Linked DNA regions of Lepisosteus oculatus. The protein of the gene in region 1 interacts with the protein of each later gene in a pairwise test. Links are inferred from orthologs where the notes say so. Each region holds a gene or a part of one and is shown on either strand. Other genes may lie near its edges.

Evidence for each region. The genes of interacting proteins can lie anywhere in the genome.
Region 2: the proteins of ap1b1 (region 1) and kif13a interact in binary tests that used the Homo sapiens proteins (3 or more experiments, as listed by UniProt). The link is inferred for Lepisosteus oculatus from reciprocal best matches to the Homo sapiens genes AP1B1 and KIF13A.

Annotation. Positions count from the first base shown.
Region 1 is NC_090717.1:13,415,913-13,423,934, forward strand, and holds the start of ap1b1 (AP-1 complex subunit beta-1), read right to left. Parts: upstream 3,141-8,022; 5' UTR 2,976-3,140; intron 2,816-2,975; exon of another isoform or gene 2,717-2,815; intron 1-2,716. UniProt on the Homo sapiens protein: Subunit of clathrin-associated adaptor protein complex 1 that plays a role in protein sorting in the late-Golgi/trans-Golgi network (TGN) and/or endosomes.
Region 2 is NC_090705.1:16,935,747-16,943,641, forward strand, and holds the start of kif13a (kinesin-like protein KIF13A), read right to left. Parts: upstream 3,428-7,895; 5' UTR 3,127-3,427; coding exon 3,066-3,126; intron 2,794-3,065; coding exon 2,703-2,793; intron 1-2,702. Other genes in the region: E3 ubiquitin-protein ligase NHLRC1, read right to left, coding at 6,097-7,338. UniProt on the Homo sapiens protein: Plus end-directed microtubule-dependent motor protein involved in intracellular transport and regulating various processes such as mannose-6-phosphate receptor (M6PR) transport to the plasma membrane, endosomal sorting during melanosome biogenesis and cytokinesis.

The DNA of each region.
Region 1 (8,022 bases):
TCAGGCAGCTCGGCTAAAGGGGAAAAAAAGAGGTTAGGTGCCCACCGCCCAAACACCCCTCCCACAGACACACAGGGCTAATGTTATCACAAAAGGAGAAAAACAAAACAAAAATCCTTAGCAAGCAGAAGTGCTAGCCAAGAGGACAGACCATAACTCCCCTGTGGTATCGGATTGTCGTTGATCATCACATGGGGGCTTTCCTGTTATTTAACCTCATGCTCCATTCATTTCCTCCTCCACATTCTTGTACATTGTCTGCTTTGGCATTAGGCTGGCTGATCTGCTGTTCCATCTTCCAAAATCAATGAGAAACTATACAATATATTGCGCATTTGGGTTTCATCTGTAGGGTGCTTAATAACAAAAGACTGAACTGAATTGTGGCATGGAGGCAGAGTAGCTGGCATCGCTATAGTTCAAGTGCGACCTGAGGTTTGCTTCTGCAATTTATTACACCAAGTGTTGCTTCTTAGATAAAGCAACATTCAAATGTTCAGTTCAACCCCTGCTGGGTTTCTAAATACGTTCTGAGATTCATCACAAATCCCCTCTGCATCAATTCCATACTGTTCAGTCTTTTACTGCAACACATGACAGGAGGATGAAAACAGCCCCTTGCTCAGGCATTCTACCTGAACTGGGCTAAATCACAGGGACATCAGGTCTCACTTTCTAACACACCAGGAAGGGATTTAAAAAAAAGAGGTGGTCAACCTTCTGGGCCTCCGCGAGCACCCAGAAAATCTAAAAAAAAAAAAAGGATGTGCCACATATGTGAAGCCTAGTCTTATCCCATGTTTTGAGCAGGATTGCTTTTAGTTGAAATAAGGATTGTGAATTAGAATTAATGGTGTGTGGAACTGATGCAGAGGTTTTCTATAATATGGACTTACAGAGATGTCGTAAGTGGTTTTCATGAACCATGAGGCAGATTTTTTCTCATCATTTCCTAACCACTTCATCCAGCCAGAGCCATGAGGGAGCCAGAGCGAGCCAGAGCCTATCCCAGCAAGCATCAGGTGCAAGTCAGGGTACACCCTGGATGGGACGCCTGTCCATCGCGGAGCAAAACTGCACGCGCGCACACCAGGGCCAACGTTCGCCAATTCACCTGCCACAATCACACTGTGGGGGGAACCTGGGGCAGCTGGGGGAAACCCATGTGAACACGGGGAGAACATACAAACTCCACGCAGACAGCAGCCCAGGTCCAGAATCGAGCCCTGCACTGCGAGGCAGCCATGCTGACCACTGCGCCCCACCAGACTCCAGTTCGTTTCCCTGCCACTGCAGACGGAGACTGGAAACAAGTACATTTTAAAAGCTTGCAAAATACCACAAAACACTAAAGATATTGGAAGATTCACTGATATGCCAAATATACCAAGTCACACAACTTTACAAGCAAATATTGCCTGTAATCATGTTTTTAATTCAGGTAACAACAATTATGATGCAGCAGAAAATCAAGAACTCAAAAGTTCTGTTCACACGTACTTATCTTCAGGTAGAACTGGAGAATCTAGAAATAAGAAACCAACTGGACACGTACCCACTACCCTGAGCTAGTCGTGGCCCAGTCTTACTGCAGTTGTGCTCAAATAAAAACTATCAATGTGCATTGACAGTGTTATTCACTGAATAGCATTATGGTTAGTTGCTCCATTTTCCCAAGGGTGTTTAAGTTTAAGCAAACCCCAAGATTCAGAAATGCTGTTTTTTCCCCCTCAAATTAAACCAAGATCCTTAGTTGTTAGGTGTGCTTGGGGGCTTCACAGACTTTCATTTATAGATGCCGACAGTGTATAAAAAATACCTTAACATTTTTAACTATTCTCTTGGAAATAGCAAAGGTCAGAGGATAAAGTTCTTGAGCACTGCTGAATCAGGAGCGTGATCACTGACACTCAGTTCATTAAGCACAGAACAGGTTTAGTTTATGATTAACCATGCATTACTGCTTGAATTTTGTGTATAGTTCAAATAGCTTTAAAACATGCAAAAGGGTGTATCAAATACCTAGGCAGACATTTAACAGTTGTTAAAACCACATCCCCAGTACCAGCTAATCCACCCTAAAGATTAGCCAGCCTGTACAATCAGAAAAAAATACCTTCAGTAAAATAGACATTGCTTAACAGTAACGCCTTTAAGCACGTTTAAAAGGGACCAAATGTGTCTCACTCCGACAATGCACTGCTTGTGTGATATGTATAAATAATCCCTGTTTGTGTTCATAAAACATTAATAAGAAAAACTCGGGTATTTTAGTCAAATTACAAGAAGAACATGCAGGCAGTGCAACATGACCGTATCTCCTGCTGTAAAGAGGGACACGACCGACTCTTAGCTCACGACAGGTCCCTTCACAATAACGTCATTCTGGGGTGAAACTGAAGTTTCTGTTCCGTCCAGACTCAGGAAACACACAAAAGGTTTCCATTACAACTGGTTTTCCACCGTGCTCAAATTTCAGGTATCAAGCGCACTCATACCTCATACAGCAGTTTTTGTAGTAACCATGAAACTCCAAAATAAAAAGGCCAACTAAGACAACGATTTGAAAAACACGCTCGTTCACTCCACTACATTCCTACACCAGCCGGACTTGTTAAATTCGTGTAGTAATGCAGCGCAATGAATGAACGTGCACTACACTTGACCTTATAGATTCAAGTAAAATCAAGAAAAAAATGCGACTAAGCTCAACAACCTTGTCTCTGAATACCCGGCCTCTGCTACAACCGTCGCCTTCACTCACTTCATCAAAACCGAAGGAAAAGCCAATAAATAAGAACTTGCAATACTACAAACAGCTGTGTGTACAACTCGGCCTTCCCTCCCACTTTCTCTGGGTAACACAATCATCTGATGCACACTTCCGGCCCGTCTCTTCCGCAATCTTTAAACTCGCATCTCCGGGGGACGAAGCGCTGGATCGCGGCGATGCGGGGACTTTTACAAGGCCCTACCTCTCTCGGTGGCTCCGCAGCGGCCCTAGTTCGGTGTATGCTTGCGGGTCTCGGATGGATGGCGATGAAGTGCGGGAGGCCCTGTCGCCCAGTGGAGCTCGGCTCTCCAAGATGTCTGACTGCGCTGTGCCGTCACCTGCCCGGCCGGAAGAGACGGCGAACAGCACTTCCGCCTGACACCTGCCGACTCCTTATGGTCCGGTAATAGACTGATGTTTAACCAACGCGGGTTCTTCAACCCTTATTGCGTTTCTGGGTTGAACTCATATTAATAATAATATTGTGTAATAATAAAAACAGTTCACTTAACATTTTAACAACATAAAAAGGGACCCTGCACTCATTAAGCAGTAAAGCACATTAACCCATTCGTGCAGGGTAAATATTGTTACAAGCAGGTGGAAACCAAACGATTAATAGTATCCTATCAAATATTTTCCACATCCTTAAAAGAGGAACATGCGATGTTATTATGATCATCTGAACCCATAGAAAATCCTGTCTGACTACTTCTGATAACAGAACCAGTACAATGCTGTACACAGTGCAACTCTAGCTGATTTTTAGAGAATGCAAATAATACCTAGGGTAGTTTGTTATATAAACACACACGTGTTGGCACCCTTCATCTCCAAAATGTTCTTCTCTTTTGCTATTCTCCAAAATAAAGTAAAATACTCTAACCTAAGCAAACATTTTTGTTGTTTGCAACATTATTGTTGTGTGTATCCAAAGTTTAAAAACAATCTGCTCTGATACAAACTTATTTATTTCTTGATGGAATTTACAGTCTATTCTACAGTAGAAGCACACAAGCTTAGCCTAAGAGAGTACCAGAATGATTTTCTCCTCTGTAGACATTCTCATTATGTTTAAACAGGAGGAAAACATTCATGATGGAGGAGAAAACAAGTTCATTATGTTTTTTACAGAATGTTTTTTCCTCTTTAACAAGTTCGGTTACACTGCCAGAAGCCTCAGGCTCAAATTAATGTTAATTGTTCTAAATAACCTGCCCAATTATTTGTTTAAACCAATATTTCACTAAGTAGTAATGGGGAAAAAAAGCACACACCCGGGTTTTTGGAATTAGCCTATTAGGCTTTTTAATAATTTGCTTTGAATTAAAAAAAATGAAACAATTAGACAAATGCTGTTTGTTATGCAGGTAGCCTGGAGGAGTGATGAAAAGTAATGTAGTGTTACCCATAATCCTTGGGTCTGGATTCAGTTATGATCTGGGACATAATGTCTGTTTTCTGGGATTCCTCCAGGTGCGCAGATTTCTTCCCACAGTCCACAAATTATTGTTCAGGGTAATTGGCATCTTTACATGTCCTCCCACCTGTGCCATTAGATGGACTGGTATCCTGTCCAAGGTACAGTATGTCCCATTTTGTGCCCATTGTTTGCTGGGTTACGTTCTAGCTCATGAGAACCTTGTACTGAACTAAGTGATTATTGCTTCACACACTGCAGAGAATGTTTAATTTGGAACAACACAATTGGAAATTGATGAAACCAGTCACAGACATTGAGTAATAGTCAAGTTTTGAAATTGCTCCAAGTTCCAAGTTCACTCTGAATACCAAAAAGCGTTTCTTTAAAAACAGAAACCAATTCAGTCCTAGAATGTGTGTTAATGGACACCCATTGAATTGAATGCAATGGAGGAAAAAAAATCCCATTTTAAATTAAAAATGTCAGCGTAGTTCCCACAGATTAGACAAAGCTGTCTCCTTTGAGGAAGATAACTTATGCAATGGAGAAAGGTCATGAAGAATTGTTTAGGTGTTTTTGAGCATAAAAGCCCTTGTTCAGAATTCTGCTGTGAATCATCATTCTACATTTAGATCTGCGTTTATATGTGTATATTACAAATGACACGGAGCTTAAGATGTTAGTGGTCTGTTTCTACAACAGCTGAAACCTGAGCAAAGGGCACTCCTGTCCATGAGACCATGGGAAACACAGCACACTCTGTAGGACACCTGATCACCTCTTGTTCCCAATGGTTCTATAAGCCAGGAGTGTTTTCTGTTCATTTGGAGGGTAGAACTAATGCTTGGCCAGATAAAGAGGATAAGTAGTGACAAAAATTAATGAGTCTTATTAAAACAAAAATAGGCTTTGAACTAAAGTTACATCTAAAATTCCTGATTTACTCTAACTTGTCATTCAAAGAGTGACAAGTAATAAAAAGTAACAACCAATAAGTGACAATTCTGCTAAATAAAATGTCTAGTTTAATATTGACAGCCCGAGCTCATGCCTATCACCCACATCTCTGTGACTTGCAATGATCTCATCGATCACTTATGAATAAGGCACATCAGAAATAGCAGCGCAGGATGATTGCAGTGTTTTGATTCAGTTCTTATTAATAGAGACATCAGTGAAATGATGGGTTTAATGTAGATGTCACACAAACTGTCCCATGTAGTCTCATTTAGTCCCAGAAAAAAAAACTTTCCATGATGCTTACTCACCACATAAAGCACTCAGCAGAGGGGAAAATAAAGAAATGACGTTTCTTTCTGGGAAAGCAATTGGGGAAAACAGATAAGTTAATTTGACCGCACCTCTCTGTCCCACAAATGTGCTTTAAAACTGTGCTCCCCTTCTCCCCCAGAGGGAAGCCTCTCCAGGCTCACTAATGAAGCCATGAAAATGAAGGAGGCCCAGAAAGCATGAAAGGCCTTTTTGCTCCTTAGTAAAAATGCAGGTGATCTCTGCCCTTCTGAGGTTAAGACCACTCTATTGAAAGTGAAAGTTAGTTGTGCGTGTCCACAGTTCCCTCGGGCAGCACTGGGTGAAAGATAAAACCATAGGTCATGAAATGCACAGATAAATCATTAAAGCGAAGCTACTGCCTTTATACTGAAAGACCTAGTTGTCAGTTACCAGAGCTGTCATGGTCATGTTTAAAGCACCACGGCGCCCTCACGTGGCCAGTGTTTATTTTACAGTTTTGGATGAACTGTAACCAACGTCTCACAAATTATTATACAACAACCTGATCTATTTTTTTAAATATTAGGAAAGATACTAAAATTGGCCAAAAATAGAATACTCATAAAACTTTTTTGTTGGAAGCATGAAAATGGTGGTTTTAGAATTATGTTTTGTCCTGCATTGTCTACTCCTGAAAACAGCTACCCCAATTGAACTTTGACTTTTTGAATCCTTCTGAAAATAAACCTCACTGTGCAAAAAACCCCAATAAGGTAGGGGTTTTTGACTAAGTGGGTATCATTTCCAAAAAACACCTGGAAATATTTTAATTTCCCATTTATAAATCAGGGCAGCATAGTGGTGCAGTTGTTATCATTGCTGCCTCACAGCGCTGGGGCCCTGGGTTCAAGACTGGACCTTCGGTTGTTATCTGTGTGGAGTCTGCAAGTTCCCCCTTATGATAGTGAGAGTTTCCTCCCACAGTCCAAAGACATACTAGTACTGTAGGTTAATTGGCCTCTGGGAAAATTGGCCCTAGTGCGAGTGTTTCTGTGTCTACATGTGCACTGCGATGGTCTGGCGTCCTGTCCAGGGTGGAGCTTGCCTTGCGCCCACTGCTTGCTGGGATAGGCTCTGGCCCCCCTGTGACCCATGCAGAACATGGAGTGGCTATCAGATAGATGGATGCATAACACTAATTATCTCAATAATCAGTTTAGATTGCTCTGCTACTGAACCGTCACCATTTTTATTACAGGCTTTATGTTTGTTATGGTATGATTTAAAACTGTTTCAAACAGGTGTGTTTCTATCAAAAGATTTCACAAAAGAGCCAACAAGAATGTGAAGAAAATGCATTCGAAACTGATGAGACATGAAACAAAGACCACAAAAACACCTATGATTTTTAATAACTAAGAGACATTTATTACAGTTGCAATGTAACTTTAGGTGCTTTAGACTTGTGTTCAGGTATCCAGCGGCCTAAAACAATTCAGCAAAAAACTGAACTTAGAAAAGACTTACAGGTAATTTCCAGGCTTACACATCTACAGAAACTTCACACAATGTCAAGACTCCATCCCTTTAATCCTTCTGGAAGTATAATCAATAACACACTCAGACACAGAAACTGCTGATGCCAGTCATATTGCCATTTTAACTCACAGTGCAAACTCATTCCCCTGTCATGACCTGCTTCAAATCCAACACTCGAAAATAAATAGAAGCAACAAATCTTTAACACTGCTTTCATTCGTTACAAAATAAAATAAACTAAATCCCACCCACTCTGCTAACGAGCAAAACCGCCACAACCGTAGTTAAGTGTCTCCGATCACGAGCCCTGTAGTACAATAGATACAGCTCCATTTGACAAGCCTTACGGAATATGCTTTGTATAAAAGTTTTACAGGAGCATTACAAGGGAAAACTGCTATCATTAAAGTGCTTAAGATGATGGATGTTTTAGTACTGGGGAGATGCAATTCTCAAAGAGAGCTAAGGAATTTCCTGAAGGTCTTCAGAGACTGGCCCAAGTGCCGCACAGAAATAAAGACAAACCTGCTTTCCTGACGTGTAATGTCACCTTTCTTGCACTCTGGTGCTCTCAGACTGCTTACAGTGCAGTTCTGCTTTTAATATTACAGCCATGACGAGTAGCATTGCTTATCATCATTATTGTTAATTTAATCTGGAGTCAATACTCCCACCGCCAGAAACAACCAAGCTAGCAAACCTGCAGCCCCTAAGGAAGATTTAATTCTAAAACAATGCATGAAACAGCTGCGGAATATGCACAAAAAAGAGATTACCGTTGGTATACGCATAAGGTAAAACTGCATCTCACTGTGTTTGAAGTATTTAATTATTTAATGTGATTATGACTGTAAATCTGATCCTTTGAGGTGCTTTCATTAGTTATTCATGTACATTTGAAAACAAATTCATACCATATTAGTGGTTTGCACTGACATCAAATCTTTGAAAAATTACTGAAATAAAATTCAAATTAAAACCACAAAGAACACATACTAAAAGGGTATCGGACAAAATCTCATTAATATCATGTTACATACAGGGCACATACAAC
Region 2 (7,895 bases), on another chromosome or scaffold:
TTAGTCTCTGCAGAAGAGTGATGGCCCCATACCACATTCTGTTTTCTCTGGGACTTGTGAGTGTAGAAGTGGTCTAAAAATTCATCACTGCCTGTTGGTTTCTCTGAAATGATAAATTTGTTAAATTACAGAAGCACAAAGGCTTTACTGTCTACGGAAAATGCTGGAGCCTGGGACTGGATAGTGTTAAGTTACACTGCGAGATATGGTTCTAAAAATATTGGTGATGATTCAGCCAAAATGATTCAGATTCCAAGCACGACACAATTAAGGAGAGAAGCAAAATTATGGTTTATTGGAGAGATGGCTTGCAAATTGCTTTATAACATTTCGAGACTGATGATATTTTTCTCACTTGCACTGCAAGAGCCCAGCTCATGAAGAGCCAACAGCTTACTCAGTGAAGCCTCAAAACCACATGCGGACTTAAAAGGAACCCAGTTCTTGTAACGCTGGCTTGAAATGGTTTGAAGGCAGGGTGTTTGCCAGTACTAGTGCTGTCGGGCAAGTTTAGGTTGGGAAAAAAACATGGAAGCTATGATACACTCCATTTTCCCTGTCAATGACTGCACATTACAAGATGGCAAAGTTGTCAGTTATTTGAAAGTGAGTATCTTCACACAGCACTGTCTCACAGTCAGCATGTACCTTCCCTACATTAATGGTTAAAGGAAATATCGGTTTCCAATGTGACTATGCAAAACCACAACCTCCACCTGCCTGGGGGTCATGGAAATTCACTTGCTGTTTATCTTCTCTGGTCAGTCTTTGTTTGTGATTCCAGGTTACATCAAATCAGGATTTTGTAAATAGAAATTCAGATGCAAATGTACTGCAGCCAGGCTTTTAGAAAGAGTTTTCCAAATCTATCTGAAAGTTTTCGGCTAAACACTCACTAGCCAACATCTGAGAGCTTTTTTTTTTCTAATCTGGCATTCAAAACAAACCACAAGGTCAAGGCCTAAATGTTAAGCAGTCGGAACATCCTGGTAGATTCTAATGTACATTAAATAATCTCCCCAAAACAGAAAATCTTAAAAATCGAAATAAATGGATGTAACAATAATTGGACTTTAGGTCACACCGACATTCAGTATAAGAGAAAGCGGCAAGACAAAACCCTTGTAAATTCAACAAGATGTTGTCATTGACAGATCGTATTCAACAAATATTTATGGAAATCAATTGTGATCCTTTGCTATATGTCATTTCTGTCAAAAGGATAGTCAATTGAAAGTCTGTGCATATCAACATCAATTTCTTTACAATGGCTTCCTACACATAAAGTTGCACTTGCCCTGTGTTACATCTGCTGAATTGACTTGAGCTCAATGCTCCAACTTACAAAATAATGTACCCGTTTTTCTGCTGGTTAAGCAGTATGTAACTAGCACATCCGTTCTGATCCAATACAATGTAAAGCCTTCATTTCTGCAATTATGAGCAAGATACACAGCTCTCTTCCTGCTCCATAAATCATCTGACACACACCTATTGTTTTCGCTCAGACTGAAAGCCTCCTTTCAGAGTTTGCTAACCAGTACTACACTCCAATGAACAAGTTCCAGTAGAGTCCAAACACAATTAGTGAAATTTCACCGGAGGGCAAAAAAGTCAAATCTAACCACAAGATCTATAAATCGCAACAGATGTAGGCTTATTTTTCAGAAAAGAGAACCCATTTTAATTTTAAAAGAAATTTTTCAAAAGCAATATATACGATCTATAAATACTATACAAACAACTACATACCCAAAAACAAGATTACTAACTATGCAGGATTCCATTCCTATATACTCATATACTTCCTATGTACATCCTCAAAAACCCAGTGAAAGCAAGCGGAAAACTACCGCTTTGTAGGGTTACTAAATATAACCCAAGTTGTCTGAGGTTACCTTTATCTTTAAAATGTTGCCCTTTCGCAAGAAAAAAAACCGCAATTAAAACACAATCAAAGGACTCGAAATCTTGGCGACTTTAGAAGCTGATACAGGTTAAACTGTCGGAGGCGGCTCTAACAGGTATCAGTGGAAGGGACAGTGCCCAACACGAGCGGCCTCCCCTTTCCTCTCTCCCATCTATTTTTACAGCCTGTTGCATTGGAATTTTGGATGGGAGCCAGCGGCTCTTTCCGCAACTCTCTGTATCCCGGGCTTGGTGGTCAATTTTCTGCACTGCGCTGCGGGGAACCGTGTCGCACAGCATTGAAAACGGCCTCGAGGAGGCGCGTGAAGTGTTATTTAACACACCTGTTGTTGTTTTTTCGCTTCTAAAACTTGGGAGGAATGACCACATAACATAGAAGTACTGTAAGCGTCGAGAAAACCGAACTACATGCGTGCTTATCCGGCATTTAGTTCTTGTGCGTCAAGGTCTCGCTGATCTACAGCAGCGGGCACAGATGTTGTACATCCAAGTTTGCAATCCCATCTTCGTTCAATACAAAGCCCTCCCCCCCCAAAAAAAACGAATCCAAAACAGTAAAATCCAGAAGCCTTTCACCTCTTTGTTTCTAAGCCAAATCGCAGGTTTTATCGACGGTAACCGTTAAATAATACTAAATGCGAGGATCAATGTCAAATCACTGATTTCCCCCATCGCCCGGGCACATACAAAGACTGGACTCACCGCTAAAAGTTCGTTAAGTCGCACAAGGGACACTAACCAAAGTAGATGCTTTATCACACAGCAGTTTTTACCTGTTCTCCCCTTTCGAGTTTGAAGGCGGTGGGTGCAGGACGGTTTGGTTGTCTTCCATTTCCACAACACATTTCGTGTTCAGCTCAATTTCTGCGGTGACAGTCGAAAGGGACAGTGCGTTAGCAGGGAGCGCTTTAAAGCCGTCACACAGTAACAAAACACACATCCCCGAAGCCTAGCCGTTTCACTTCTCCCTAAAACAACTCCCAGATAAATCGCATCACTCCTTTGCTGCATAACTGCTGAAGAGACAGAAGATGCTGCTACACTGCGTTACAAATCTTGCAGCTAAAGAAGTTTTTAAAGGGTGTTGTAATTATGGGTTACAGAAGACAGAATATGGTGAAGTACAATACACTTACCTCTCCGGTTCATTGGCCGGACTCTTACAGCAACTTTTACCTTACTATCCGACATTTTCATCCACTTTTTTTTCCTCCACTAGACTGTTACATTGGACTTAGGAAAAATGATAGTGTGAGTCCCCAAGTGCTTTAGCTCCAAGTCAGTTATCGGGCGTAGATGCAAACAATATATTCCCAAGATCCATTCCAGGCCACTTGAAACAGAAAATTAAACATATTTTACTTTCAGTGAGCTAAATTTACCACCGATCCTCTCTCATCCTAGACTCCATCCCCACCGCCATCTTCCACTGAGAGCAGTTTGCACCACCAGGCGAGACTCCGGCGGACCGAAAAAGCCGGATTCTGGGAACACACGAACTGAACTTCGGAAGCAAAGGCCACCGGGAATACACGGAGAAGAACGGAATACGGGAGAGGCACTCGGACATCACGGAAACATACGAAGACGAACGAAGATGCGTGAGGGGAAACACGCTACTATCTAGCTTTATTCAATACGCAAAAAACGTCATGTCAGCTGTGAATAGTGAACATTTTTGTGAGGATTTACATTCTTACTGTTGAGATCGAGTATATCGTCATCCCATTGCGAATTTAGAGACAAGACCAAAATGTCACTGTTGCTGCACCTGATTAGAAAAATGGGACAACTCAGACCGGAGCTGTGGGTATGTATTGTTATTTTGTATTATTACTTTCTATAAATAAACGTGGATATTTAATAAATAGAGTATGATATTTATAAATATAAATTAAATAAACATGGTTACTGTTATTATTTTTATAATGTAACAAACATGTAGCGCTTAATAACGCTGCGTTTTCACAGGCATAACGACGTAAAATAGCAAGTAATACAAAACTGCAGAAGATGTTCAGATATGTTACTCCAGTGCTGATCTGTTGGAATTGATTGCGAATATGCTGTCAGTACTTTAAAAGTGTTAGGACAGGCTTTTTGCACACTTCCAAAATACAAAAATTAAGAGTACTTTCGTCGCACTGTTTATTTATACCAATGTGGAAACCGACAGGTTCAGATGGTAAATCTGTAGATTCTCACGTACGTTTTCGTGCAGCCTTGTATTTATAAACTGCTCGAGTAAATATGACTTTTTCCATTATCCGCCTTTGTACATGCGCGCTCCGTGAGACGGACGGGTGTCTAGTCCGGCTTTTCCAGGGTGTTCCGAGTCCCGGAATACTTTGTATCTACAGTATATCTACTAAATGTGGCCTTATATCGCATGGGATTTGAGACAATTAGGACAATGGAAGAGTATTTATACTGCCATTCGTTGTTCTTACCTTCTGCTCTCATTCCATCAGTGATGCTGCTGTACGTTAGTACTGTCTACGGCCCGAGAAAGTGCCTCTTGACCAGGAATGTGCAAATTAGTGTACTGTATGTGATAATCTGCAAATTGTAAATCACAGTTCTGACCAGAACTGTTTTGCAGAGCCAGGCACTCGCTTATGCCAACCGAATACGGAATAAGCGCAGTAACAATGGCGAAACATGTAAAATGCATGTCTATTATTATTAATTATTATTATATAAAACTGCAAAGTAAAAAAATCACACTTGAAAATAAAAAAAAACATATTTGCACTTGAGTGTCATTCTCCGTACATTCTAAACATATGCTGAAGATTACATTCTTCCAATATTTTAATATCCTATCAATGCATGGCAGGAAGGCTTGGCAGCCTTGCAGTACTGCCTCATAGCTCTTGGATACTGGGTTCAAGTCTGGAATGGGGCATCTTCTGTGTGGAGTTTGTATGGTCTCCCCAATGCGGTATGGGTTTTCTCATATGTGACATGCCGTCCTCATCTTGTCCTCAGTGGTGTGTGTGCCCTGCATTGGACTAGCATCCCGTCCAGGTTGTATTCCCAGTATGCATCCAATGTTCCTGGGGATAGACTCTTGCCATAAGGGTCTTTTCATAATAAATAAACCAGATAGTAGCTTTTCTTAATGAACTGATAAATAGATGGAGCGAAGGAGTCAGTGTAACTCAGAAAAGTGTTTCACAATCTTGGACTTTGAATGCCTTCTTTGATATAGTTTCTGGTACAGCCGAGTTTCTCATTTAAAAGTTCTTATTTCCAGAAATAATTTCATTCGTGTGTATTATTTCAAAGACATCTTACAAAAGCTGTAGTTTTCACCTTGTTTAAGACTGATGCACAGAAACAAGTAGGTATGATGCTTCTGAAGCACTCCTTTAATAAGCATGCACAGTGCTGTACAGACTCTTCAGTTAAGTTCCACATGGTCATTTAAACAGGAATCCGAAAAGGGAGGAGTCCTCAATCTCATCTGGCACATGGTAATTGTTAGCCCAGCTCTGGGTGCTTCCAGGGAGAAGCAGTCATACCTGAAGAGGCTCCAAATCCAAAACGTTGCCTTTGTTCTTGTTACTCTTCGTTGTGGAACTAATCTCCAACTGTTTCTTCACAGCTCCCCAATCTAATCTTGCATCGAGGAGCTGGAACTGTGAAAACACTTCAATTAAAGCTTCAATGAGGTTCATTAAGAAAGAGCTGGGTTGAAATACATACTGTACCAGAAATGACAATATGTCCAAAACCAGTACAGGGAAGCACAGACCTAGAACGTCTTTTTAAACTGTTAAGCCAACGTTAGTCTTCTAATTATACAATATTATTATAAATTATTTTTAGTGGTATAAAACAAATTATCTACTGATATGTCATTGTAAGCAATATTAATGTATTTATACTATTAACATATTATATATTAATACAGTTTACTCTATATATAAATACAAAGACCATATGCTTAGAAATATTTATGTATGCTTTATGCTCCATTCACAAGTATTTACAGTACTTTTTTGTCTACTGTATATGACGGTAATGTTTACTATGAAAAATTTTATTAGTGACGATTTTCTTAGTTTTCAGCAGGAAATTTTACAAGCAGTACAAAGTGCCAAGCACTTAAATATGCTCAGTCTGCAGTTTGCATGACTCTAAATTTTTCTTGGAAGTGGTTCACAGCTGGTCTCGGCCATCTTTGTAAATTTTCACAGCTTGCTCGCTGCTGTCCAAGACGACCAGCATGTTCCCCGCTGTGCAGATCAGTCCTACAGGGCGACCCAGCCCTTGGTTGATGAGTGGAATAAAGGAAGGGGATTCCCTGAGCTTCCCCAAGCACACCACCACTCTCCGGCTGCCATCAGCTGCAATCACGTTGTCTTCGCTGTCAAAGGCCACCGCGGAGACATTCATTTGAACTGGAGCCACCAAACTGAATCCAAAGGTGTCGATCTGAGATAGCAGTCTGAGCTGGCTATCGAACAGTTTGAGCCTTGTGGCTGTGCTGCTTCTGTGTTCCCAACCTCTTAGATGTTCCACTACCACTACGGACCCTGTGAGCTTGGAGGATGCGATCTCTCTGGGGCAGCACAGCTTCGAGGAGGCCACATGGTGACCGGTGACGAGATTTGTGCAGAAATCCACCACCAGGCGAGAAAGGGTCCCAGCGTCCGCATCCGTGACAAAGATGCGATTGGAACCGTCGGCATCCGTTCCCCAAGGCAACTTGAACGTCTCTCTGACGGTCAAAAGATTTCTTCCCGCGGAGGTGAACACTTTGACAGAGCGATCCCCGGCGTCGGTCACAATAATGTGGCCTGCGGGCGTAACAGCGACGTCCAGGGGGTAGCAGATATCGTCGGGCAACGTCCCCTTGCGCCCGAACCCGTGGAGGCGCTCTCCCTGGAGGCTGAAGATACCCACCCGCTTCCTACCGTCATGCACGACTACCAGCGCCCCCCGCCCGCCGAAAAGGGCAGCTCCCGTGGGGTTCACCAAGCGCCCCCAGCCTCCGAAAGCCCCGCGAAGCTTCAGGCCCACAGTCCCAAACCCGCCCGCGCTGTAACCCGCGCAGGGAGGGCGGCCGCCCCCGAGCAGCTCCGTCAGGTGGGCCACCACGAGACAGTCGGACGCCTCCGCGGGGCTGCAGAGCCTGCGGCAGAAGGGGCACTCCAGCCTCTGAAAGCGAGGGTGGGCGAGAGAGCTGAGGCATTCCCAGCACATCACGTGACCGCAGGGCAGATTCTTGGGCCTGCCCTTGCCCCGCTCCACGCTGAATCTCTCAAAGCACACTTTGCATTCCAGTAGGCTGGTCTCGATCTCGTTCAGGATCCTCACCGTGTTGCAGCTTTGCCTGCTGCTGCGAACTCCTCCTGCGGACACGATCTCTGCCTCCATCATGCTGCCTGTGGGCTGCATTTAGCACGACAGACTCGGAAAGCGCTAGGGGAAAAAAAGCATTTGCTTCACCTTCAGTCAGGCACGTCTTAAGAGACACGTGATTGCAACATAGACTACAGCCTAAAAACTGTACTCTGCTGCCCTCTTGTGGGAACGATGTGATTTACACATAAGAGATCTTTCCAGTTTGATAATTTCCATTTTAAAAGATGCTAAGTCATATATCCCTGTGTGCAGCGGTTTCAGAGTCACAAAACCAGTCTCATCTCCAACTTGTGTTTGTTTTTAACGGTAAAGTGTCTGAAAGCAGCAACATATTAAGTTGTGAAAAAAGGTAGATAAATGTGTGTCAGTTTTGCAATTTACTGCTCTTACTGTGTAGGCAATGGGATTATTCTTTTACATTGGTATGTGTGAATCTGCAAATTTAAAACATTTAAAACAAATTTAAAATTTCTAGGCTCAGACAAATACAATTTAATAAAGAGAAATAACTTCCAGATGAAGAACCCCACAAAGATTTAATGAATTTATTTTAGAAGTCATTTACTTTCAGTACATACAAAATAATTTGT